3 linked regions of the Oryctolagus cuniculus genome follow. The protein of the gene in region 2 purifies or fractionates together with the protein of the main gene of each other region. This does not show direct contact. Links are inferred from orthologs where the notes say so. Each region holds a gene or a part of one and is shown on either strand. Other genes may lie near its edges. The genes, in order: SAP30L, SINHCAF and ARID4A.

Region 1 (3,651 bases), on a different chromosome or scaffold from region 2:
AATAATGACTCCACAACACCATCTTGAAACCAATTGTAGTGACTCCACCTGAGAACTCTGTTCCTTCGAAGCATTACCTTCTGGGAAGGCTAGTGCTAAGCTGAGGCTTGCCTCTCTCCTGGAGGGCGCCTGTGCAATGATCAACACAGGTTTTCCAGTGGGGTCAATAGCTTAACAGAGCCCTAGCTGCAGGAGCAAAATCAGGTGTGAAGGCATATCTTTCTTTTTTTTTTTAAGGACTGGGTAATATTATAAGTTGCTTAGGTAAAAGCTTCTAACATCTATAGAGAAGACAGGGAGTATTTCCAAATGGATGAATTCACTGCTGTCCCACAATTAAGCATTTCACTGACACTTGACCTAATCAGGCACCACCAAGGTGTCTAGTCAGTCCTTTGTTCCAAAATGAGTATCTTTCATTCATTCAGATTTATAATAAGAAAGCCATTAACTTACCCCAGCAGCAGATGCATTATAATGACAAACATTAAATATATTAGAGGGAGGGAGGGAAAGGCCTAGAAGAAAGGATAGGGAAGACTTTTTATGAAAGACTTAACAGCCGGCACAGTGGCTTAGCAGGTAAAGCCTCTGCCTGCAGTGCCGGCATCCCATATGGGCATTAGTTGAGTCCGGGCTGCTCCACTTCTGATCCTGCTCTCTTCTGCAGCCTTGGAAAGCAGCGGAGGATGGCCCAAGTGCTTAGGCCCTTGTACCTCTGTGGGAGACATCGAAGAAGCTCTTGGCTTCGGATTAGCCCAACTCTGGCTGTTGTGGCCATTTGGGTTGTGAACCAGCAGATGGAAGACCTCTCTCCCTTTCTCTGTTTCTGCCTCTAACTCCGTATTTCAAATAAAATAAATAAATCTTAAAAAAAAAAAAAGACTTACTGAAGAAGTGCACATGGGGCTTGGAAGTAAACTAGATAATGTATTTAAGATACAAACCAGCCTCTGTGGTGCTCTGTGTATTTGGCACCAACCCTTCCTGTATCTGGGTTTCAGTGTCAACAATAAAATCTGAAGTGGAAAAACGGGCTTCCTCTAATTTTAACAAACCGTCTCTGATTTCCCTGAACTGTAGAGGAATTCTGGCCCCAAAAGAGAACGGATATTAACCACCTAAGCTCTTAGCTAGTCTACCTGCATGTTAAAACCCCCTTAACTCATTTCCAATTCCTAAACAAGAAGCAGCCGCAGCCACTTAAGGCTTGCAGCAACAGATGTCAAACCAAAAAGTTCTTAATTGGTTGACAATAGGCACAGCTTTAGAATTGTTAACTAGAAGTGGTGAAATCACAGAGGAAAAGTTTCCTATAATTAGGCACAAGGCAGGGCAAGCCTATTCAAATTTCAATCTCCATTTCCCACCTCCGCATTCCTAAAGGCGCTACCCCAAGGAAACCGAATCTCCCCACCTCGCCCCCTCCCCCGCCCACTCCCAGTGACTTGACTGTCAGTGCCATCTCCTAAGACCTGGTCGTGGCCTTATTCCTGCCATATCCTGGAAACACCCACTCCCAGAGTCGTAGCCTGAGAGGCGATCCTCTGCGGAAAAGGAGGCCGCGGGGGACAGGGAAGTCGCTGCTGCCACCTCTCCCAGTCTGAAGAAACAGCAGCGTTCTTAGAAGGAGCCAGAAGTTGGCCAACAGCCGGGTCCCTTCATCACCCCCTCCCCGATTCTTGCACCTTCGTGGGCCAACAAAATTAACCCACCTCCTCCTGCTCGAACATCTGAGCCAATAAAACGAGCTAGAAACTGCTGTCCAATCTTCCCCGGCAGGAGGAGTCCTCGCACCCCCCGCCCCCAACCTCCCGGATCTCAACAGAATCACAGCCAGGGCAGGTCCGCGCTTCAGCGGCCTCCGAAATCCCGCGGCCAGCTCCTCGGGCTGGCAGATGAGGGGCGGCGAGGCCGGCGGTGGGGAGCGCCCGGGGCGTCCCGGCCGCGGCCCGGGGCAGCACACAGCGAGCGGCAGGGCGCGGACTCACGCTCTTGTCGATGTCCAGCTTGAGTTTCTTCTGCGAGATGCTCTTCTGCACCCTCTTGCTGAAGGAGGCGTTGCCCGCGGGCCGGACGCAGCGCTCGCCGTCCTCGATGAGGCAGCAGCTCTGGCCGTAGCCCGGGGCGGCGGCGGCGGCGGCGGCGGCAGCGGCGGCGTTGGCGGCGGAGGCTGGGGGCCCTTCGCGGCTGTCCTCCTCGGTGCTGAAGCCGTTCATCTCCCCGCCCCGCGTCGGCCCCTCTGGGGGCAGGGCCCCCTGCAGGCCACTCCGCGGCCGCGCTCCCTGCGGAGCAGGTCGCCGAGACCCCCGCACCCGAGAGTCCCAGAGTCCGTCTCCAGACCAGGGCTGCCCTGCCCCGCGTCCCAGAGGCCCTGCTCCTGCAGCTCTCGGCCCCGAGTCTACGGAAACCCCCTTCCTCCTGGCCAGAGGCCCCGGGGTCGACTCCCGCGGCTCGCAGGGCCCCGCTGGGGGTCACCCGGAGGCCCCTCTTGCTGGGAGCTCAGAACCGCTACCCTGAGGCGCGGGCGTCCGGGAGGGCGTCCCAGGAAGCGGCCGCTCCCCAGGGACTCCGGGCCGGGGTTGCCAGGGGGTTTCGAAGGCCCCTGCCGGCTCCCGCCTTCTTTGGGCAGCGGGGCAAACTCGCTGCTGGGCAGCTCTCCCCTGGTGGCGCGGCCTCCCCGCGCGGGGCCCGGCCTCGAACCCGCGGCGCCCGGGCCCCCCGCGCCGCGTCCGGCCCGCCCCACCCCTGCAGCCTCTCGGCTGCTCCCCGAGTCCCGCGGCAGCCCCTGGGCGGCCCGGCCGCCGCCCGCCCAACGCGCCGCACCACAACAGTTCTCTCCCCCCCGCCCTCTTCGGGACAGCGGAAGTCCTGCCTCCGCACGCCTATTGGTCGCATTCGCTCTCAGGGCGGGGTCGTCGCCGCCGCTGGCGCGCTCCATTGGGCACCACTGCCGCCAGTCTCCGGCGCCAGGCTACTTCCTGGACTCTGCTGGGATGGGTTCAAAGTAGAGAAAGTGGAAGAGGGAAGAGTTCCTCGGGCGAGGGAGGGGAACTAGGGCGCAGATTGCCCAGCCCCAGGGAGGAATGATGACCAAGGGTCGGGAGGGACGGAGGGCAAGACTCCGAGAGCAGCGGAATGTATTCGGAAGCCGACAGAAGTACAGACGCGGGCGGGGGCGCAGAGGGACAGGCTTGGGGGAGGGGCGTGTGCGAGGAGACCTAAAGGGGATAGCGGTCCTGTCACGAGAGGAACCTACAGGGCACAACGACAGGGCCGGGGCCAGAGTCCCCCAGACCGACGTGGGGGTGAGGAGGCGAGGACAAAACAGGACAGAAGCCAGTCATGGCGGGAAAGACAGAGGGACAGCCCCGAACAGATACATGGAAAGAGATACCAAGGAGATGAGGGGGGCGATCTTGTCGGGATCTTGGGGGTGCCGGAGACGTGAGACTGTGGAGATTGGCTGGGACGGCACGGAAAGAAAACGGGCGGGAGGAAGGAGGGCCCCGGGGGCTTGGGCGACCCCTCTACGGGAAAGAACCTGCAATCCGGGTAAGGTCCGGAGGGTGAGCCGGGTGAAGAGGGGCTGCCGAGGAGATGAAGAAATGGCTGGAAGTGGCCGACCAAGGGTCACTCCCGGGACCAGGT
Region 2 (3,140 bases):
AGTCCCAGTGATAAAGACGGTTTGAACAAGCCTGGTTCTAGTCCTGGCTCCTCTGCCTCGGAGCCAGCTTCCTACTTACTAATGCATACCCTTGAGAGGCAACAGGTGACAGCTCAAGTGCTTGGGTTCCTGGTTCCTGGCTTTGGCCTGGCCCAGCTCTAGCTACTGGAGGCATCTGGGGAGTGAACTGGTGGACAAAGGATCTTGTCTGTCTTTGCCTTTCAAATAAAACATGAAAAATAAATAAAATGAAGGTCCCTGAAGTCTCAGTGAGGCTCCCCAGTCTGCCAATAAGAAAATCAAATCCCAGACAACAGCAAATCCACAGCACAGACATTCCCGGGAAGCTTGCTTCATCCTTGTTCAAACTGTCATATCACTGGGCTAACAGCAGTGCACCTTGGGTAAAATGTCCTTTATTCTAAAGTCTTTATTTTCGTGGGCCAAGAGGTTTTTTCCTCTTCCTGGCTTTGATAATACTGAGGACTCAGCTGGATGTTTTGTGAAAGCAAGACCACTGGTTGCTTACCAAAAACCTCTGAGAACAAAGCCATGAGACAGCTCCCTTTTATTTTCTATTAAGACTAAATTTATTCAATACCCTAGTAAAAGTTTTGATTATAAGTATCCAACAGTATAAAAAGTACAAAACAGATCTGTAGATGTCTAATATATTAATACAAAGTGCATGACTACACACAGTACGTCCTACAGGCAGAGAGGGGGCGGGGGAGAAGACGGTGGCTGAGGTCTAGCAATAAATAAATAAATACAGAAGTAGAGATGACCCACGTTATAGTATATTCTACCACCAGTACTGCAACCAACATGTACAAAAAAAGAAAAACAACAAAGCCATTTCGAAGTAACTCAGGATGGAGGATGATAACAGCTGGACCCTTGCGTCCCCTTTTGAGGCAGGGGGAGTCGGGGGTGTGTGGGGTCGGGAGCAGGCAGGCTTTTTCCCACAAGGGAGAAATGCAACCTGTTATGTTCAGACAAGAGCTAGCAGACTACAGGGCTCACTCCTCGGTTAGGCTACCCAAAACCTCAAACTCCAGTTCTAAAATTAAGCGCCAAGTCGCGGCACCGTAAGTGTGATGCTCCTTCTGCAGGGGGGGCGTCCGGACAGGGCTTTTTGTTTTTCCTGGACTTCTAGAAAAGAGGCAATGAGAACACTTTGGCGTGGATACAAGTGAGAAGCTTTAAAACTGAGGATCTCTTGGCCGGCGCCACGGCTCACTAGGCTAATCCTCTGCCTTGCGGTGCCGGCACACCGGGTTCTAGTCCCGGTCGGGGCGCTGGATTCTTTCCCAGTTGCCCCTCTTCCAGGCCAGCTCTCTCCTGTGGCCAGGGAGTGCAGTGGAGGATGGCCCAGGTGCTTGGGCCCTGCACCCCATGGGAGACCAGGATTGGAGGGTGAACCAACGGCAAAAGGAAGACCTTTCTCTCTCTCTCTCTCTCACTGTCCACTCTGCCTGTCAAAAAAAAAAAAAAAAAAAAATTACAAAGACCAGGATCTCACAAGTGGAGGGCCTACGGTCACATCTGGAGATCCAGAAAGCCAGACTAAAAAGTCAAAGCAAAGCCAATCTTAGTATTCACGCACGCCTCTGTCCTTTTACTCAATTTTACGTTAATTATAATGAGAAAAAAAACAAAAAAACCAGAAGCCCTAGGCAGCTACAAGAAGTTAGACGCCGGCTCAACTCTGGAAAAACCTTCGCAAAGGTCACAGGAGATAAAAGCCAGGGGCGAATGGAACGGCCCGGACTGGCAGCGAAGTAGCCCCCAGCCCCCAAGGCGAGCCCCCAGAGCAGCGTGCCTTCCCGCTGTTTCTCAACCAGCTGAGCCTGTTTAACCCGGGATCCGTGTTCCCCGGGGCGGAGCTCTGCCTCCGCTGTGGGACCTCGCGGAAATTAAAACCTGGACAAAACATGAACATGAGGGAGGTGACATGGATGCAACACATACAGCTAAGTGACCTCTCTCTCCGCTGAGAAGTTACCGTCTCCTGCCCGGGACGCGCTCCCGCTTTGTCGTCAGTAGTACGGGTTTGAGCCCCCAGATCCTGGGCCGGACCTCAGGATTCCAGCGCCAGGGGTCGGTCCTGTAACCGGGTTACCACCAATTTGCTGTCGAGAGGGAAAACAAGGGCCGCCAGCCAATGAGAAACTGCCCCAACCACTGCTTCTCAGTACAGAAAGACTACAACTACATACGGCTTATCATACAACAGATCCCATCTCTGTCCCCTGAAATTCCCCTAATTCCATTCATTAGAAGGGGATTTAATTAAAAAAAAAAAAAAAGACTTAAAGAGCACTTTACAGCAGCATTCAGCCTTCCTATGAGATCCTCAGCATCTTCAATATTATGTACACGCATTCTTTCTTTCAGGAAGCGAGACACTGGCTTCAGAACGTGTGGACCTGGGGAAGAACCCATTCAGAACTAGTCTAGGAATTGTCTTTTGGCAGAATAGCAGGTATCCGAGTGAAAACGTTAAGAGGGTCAGTTTGTCGCTTCGTGGTCTTCGCAGAATCTCTGCTGCTCTGCCGCCGGGCCGTGGGCGGCGGTCACCACTCCTGAGGGGCCCTGGGCAGCGGCTCGGGGCCCTGGGGCGCCGGCGAGGGCTCAGCGGCCGGCTTCTTGCTGTTGCAGCAAGGCTTGAAGAGGTGCGTGTCGATGAGCACTTCCCCAAAACGCCCCTTGTAGATGATCCCACAGCAGATCTTCTGCCTAAGAGGAGGGAAAGAGACGCAGACACATCAACAAGGGGGCCAGGGGAAACAGCATCTCCTCCTCCTCCTCCTCCTCGTAACCCGACCAGCGGGAGCATGGCGTCCCAGTCCTCCCACCCTACCCCTGTCAGCCAGGGGACGGGGGCCTCCCAGACCCCCTCCAGGCCTGCCCTGGAGTCATCTCCAGGAGGAAGGAGGACGGAGAGAGTTTGACACACAGCAGCCATCTTCAGCTGCCACTCAAGCTGTTAACTTTTCTCCAAAACTCACCAACTCCTACAGAAAACCAGCCCCCCAGGAACAGGTGGACCCAGCAGGTCGCTTTACTGTGCTTAAACACTGAGTAAACAAAAATGTTTTTTTCTAAGCTGCAGAGCTGGGATACAGGAACACCTT
Region 3 (3,749 bases), on a different chromosome or scaffold from region 2:
TCCAGCAAGCAAGGAAGATAATGAAGGGGACTGACTCTCAAGGTGACGGTTAATAAGAGCTGTGGGGTAACACTCGCATGGCAGGAATAGGGAGAAACAGGATAGAAGGGCTCCAGGAAGGCTGTCTCTGAAAAAAATGGAAGGGCCTTGGCCACTGTGGCCATCTGGGGAGTGAACCAACAAATGGAAGGCCTCTCTCTCCCTGTCTCCCCCAAGCCCCCATCTCTCTAACTCTTAAATTAAAAAAATCTTTTTAGAAAGATGATGACAGGGCTGGTGGGCATTTGGCCTAGCTGTTGAAAGTGGTTAGAGAACCTGCATCCCATATAGGATGCCTGGGTTTGACCCCTAGTACCAGCTCCTGTTTCCAGCTTCCTACTAATGCAGACCCCGGGAAGCAGCCGTGATAACTCAAGTGGTTTGGTTCCTGCCACCCACCTGGGAGACCTGGATTGAATTCCCGAATTGCAGCTTGGGCTTCCCAGCCCTGGCCATTGTGGGCATTTGGGGAATGTGGGGAATGATCCAACAGATGGGAGCTGGAATACATGCGTTCGTTCGTTCTCTCTCTCTCTCTCTCTCTCTCTCTCTCTCTCTCTCTCTCTCTAATACATAAAAGGTAAATTGCTTGACAGGCCTAACCAGGCGTATTTCGGGGATGAGTTACTGATAGAGTGACATGTAGCAGATGTGGTCTTCAATCATTCTACTACACATCCAGTGGTCTTTATTTAATTGCAAGAAATAAGATGGAGCAGATAAAAAATGATCAGGCGTCCCATGTTTGTCCTTTACAAGTTTTTGTTTGTTTTTTAAATAACCAGAAGTCTTCCTAGGACTTTTAAACACAAAAAAGAAGAAAAGAGCAAATTAACAAATTGAGATTTCTTCAGAGAATCCTCAACTGCTTTGGGGTTTATTTCTTTAAAGTTTTAGACAACAAAAAGCGTTCTTCTAATAGGCTTCCTCTTTTGGTTTCCTTTTTTGTAGTGGATGTTACATTGAAAGAGTTCTAGCATACGTATAGGAATTTGTCTTCTTGGAAGCCACACCCACAGATATACATCAACAAAGTTAAAACTTTACATAACTGGGAATGTTTGAGTAAAGATTGACAAGAGACAGGAGTGTGTTTTGAGGAAAGACAAGATAAGGGGTGGTTCTGTGGCATAGTAGGCTAAGCCTCCACCTGCGGTGCCAGCATCCCACATGGGCACCGGTTCTACTCCCAGCTGCTCCTATTCCAAACCAGCTCTTTGCTGTGGCCTGGGAAGGCAGTGCAAGATGGCCCAGGTAATTGGGCCCTGCACCGGTGTGGGAGACCCAGAAGAAGCTCCTGACTCCTGGCTTCGGATCAGCCCAGCTCCAGCTGTTGCAGCCATTTGTAGAGTGAACTAGAGGGTGGAAGACTTCTGTCTCTCCCTCTTTCTTGTCTCTAATTCTGCCTGTCAAATAAAATCTTTAAGAAAAAAAAATGATAAAAGCAGAAACTACAAAATGACAAAGTCCACAACACATAAACCCTTAGCCTGTGTTACTATTCCTGGGGAGTTACGGTAGACTTTTCAGGACTTTTTTCCTAGCCACGCACATGCACCTCCATCCTGACCACCATGGTTCCGATTCCTGACAGCAGGGGGGTTTGTCTGGGTGCATTGAGCACTCTTGGGGCCTGTGACCTCAACATAGTCAGACATTCCCTGTCGTGAGAATCTATCTCAGCTTGACCTTGTTTCTGACTTGCGGCAAGCCAGGTTCCTCACTGGGATTTTCCAAGTTGGGATTTCAGAGTTTATTGCTCTTTAAGCTTCACATTTTACAGTGTTTTTAAATTTCTTTTTTAACTTTTAAGTTGTTTAATGGAGCAAAGATGAATTGCATGCTATTGAGCCAATCAAAATGTTTGCCGAAACTTTGCTTATTTCTCATGCAACATTTAGGAGGCCCATGATTGAAATGAATGTTAAGAATTTTGTTTCCTAGTTGCTGTTGGTTAGGCATCTTGGTGTAATGGATTTTGAATCTAACACGGTTGTTTTGCTTCCACAGTGTCTCATACAGGAGCCTCCATGTCATCTGCTTCATCAGACACTGGAATGAGTCCCTCATCCTCATCACCCCCACAAAATGTACTTGCTGTAGAGTGCAGGTGATAAATGTTTCCTCTGCCTTCCCAGCTGCCATGGACATAAATCCCCAAACCCTGAGACACAACCACAGAAAGCACTCAACTGGTTTGACATTGCTAAGTATCTCCTCTATATTCTTCCAGGCTGGATCGTACCTAGTCCCTTCTTATTTCCTTTTTTCTTGTTGAAAACAAATAAGCAGATGAATAATCGAAGGTTAGGCAGCCTGCCATATTTGTCATAACTTTTCCTCTTTCTTTTTTTTTTCATTTTTTGTGATAGAGAAAAAAGGGCACTTAGCAAATTTGAATTTGTATAATAAAGCTTTCAGGTGTTATAGAAATCATAGACAAGCAAGTGCACATGATAAACATCAAAATATTATCCAGCTGAGTAGTTACCGTTGCACTTTCACTGAGATGTGTTTGAACACTTGGTGAGTAGGGGGTTTATGTTGTATTTTTTTGTTGTTGTTTTTATTTTTGTGGAAGCACTTGCTATTTAGAACTGCCAAAGTATATGTTCAGCAGTGTGCCCAGGTTTAAAGATGTAAATGGGACAAAATAAATTGTGAAAGGAAGTGTAGTTGACTGAAAACTACAGTTGTAATAAGTCTTCCACTTTTTATAGGATTTTTGAGCACACAATTATGCAAATATTTTAATGTTTATTAATGTTTACAGTGGAATTGTGAATAAGTTTTCAGTGGACTATCTTATCCCTTGACAAAAATATTTTGTCTTTTTTCTATGTAATTTCAGAGTTTTTATTTTGTTACAAAAAGACAAAAATGAAATATATAACAACAATGAAGTTATTTAACAAGATTTCTAAAGCTGAAAATTTTGTGTAAAATAAGGTATTATCTTGCAACTTGTTAAATATATTTATTCAGACATTGGATGTTGTATTTTTATGTATTTTTTAAAATATTAATAAAATTGAAAAAAAGAAAATTCTAGGTTAATTCACTCTTTGGATGGCAGTAGCTCTCAGCTGTCCCTGGCCTGGTTGAAGGGAGTCTGTCTCAGTCCTTCAAACAGTAGAGAACTATGAATGGGCATCTGGATCAGTAAAGCATGTCCTTGTTTAGAGACTTTGGCAGTCCTAGTATTTAAACTGTTTTGAGGATCAAATTTTTGGTTGCCCTTAAGATACTTTGTCACAGTTTTTATGTTTGCTGTACTGCCGAATAAATTTATATCTCCCAAAGTTGAGATGCAACAACTAAGTAAAGCAACTATGTATGCTTCGTCTGTGAATTGTTCCACAGACTGATACATTTTGTAAATAATTCTTCCAAAATCATGTATTTAAGCAGTTTTGCATATATCTTATGTAAAAAAAAGTGATTTTTTAAAAGCGATTTTTAAATTCATGTTTGTACATTGAAGGGGTTTTTTTTTAAACCTCCTTTTCTGTGTTTAATATGCTGTAGAGTAATAATCTAGATGCTCTAGACTGTATATCAGGATCTGATTTACAAGAACAAAGTCAGAGCTAAACACTAGTGATGACATAGCATTACTGAAATCATTGTTTCTTAATTTCATTTTACCACATTGTGAATTTGTGACTCAGATTCCTTCCATTTTCTCAGAGAATTAAAAACAAAAAAGT

The links.
Region 1: the proteins of SINHCAF (region 2) and SAP30L purify together in Homo sapiens (affinity purification with mass spectrometry; 3 studies listed by BioGRID and IntAct, counting the BioPlex papers as one, with this or other methods). This does not show direct contact. The link is inferred for Oryctolagus cuniculus from reciprocal best matches to the Homo sapiens genes SINHCAF and SAP30L.
Region 3: the proteins of SINHCAF (region 2) and ARID4A purify together in Homo sapiens (affinity purification with mass spectrometry; 3 studies listed by BioGRID and IntAct, counting the BioPlex papers as one, with this or other methods). This does not show direct contact. The link is inferred for Oryctolagus cuniculus from reciprocal best matches to the Homo sapiens genes SINHCAF and ARID4A.

What each region holds. Positions count from the first base shown.
Region 1 is NC_091437.1:41,395,526-41,399,176, reverse strand, and holds the start of SAP30L (histone deacetylase complex subunit SAP30L), read right to left. Parts: upstream 2,844-3,651; 5' UTR 2,220-2,843; coding exon 1,992-2,219; intron 1-1,991.
Region 2 is NC_091440.1:127,574,969-127,578,108, forward strand, and holds the end of SINHCAF (SIN3-HDAC complex-associated factor), read right to left. Parts: intron 2,743-3,140; coding exon 2,580-2,742; 3' UTR 567-2,579; downstream 1-566. UniProt on the Homo sapiens protein: Subunit of the Sin3 deacetylase complex (Sin3/HDAC), this subunit is important for the repression of genes encoding components of the TGF-beta signaling pathway.
Region 3 is NC_091443.1:18,443,786-18,447,534, reverse strand, and holds part of ARID4A (AT-rich interactive domain-containing protein 4A), read left to right. Parts: intron 1-2,049; coding exon 2,050-2,153; 3' UTR 2,154-3,749.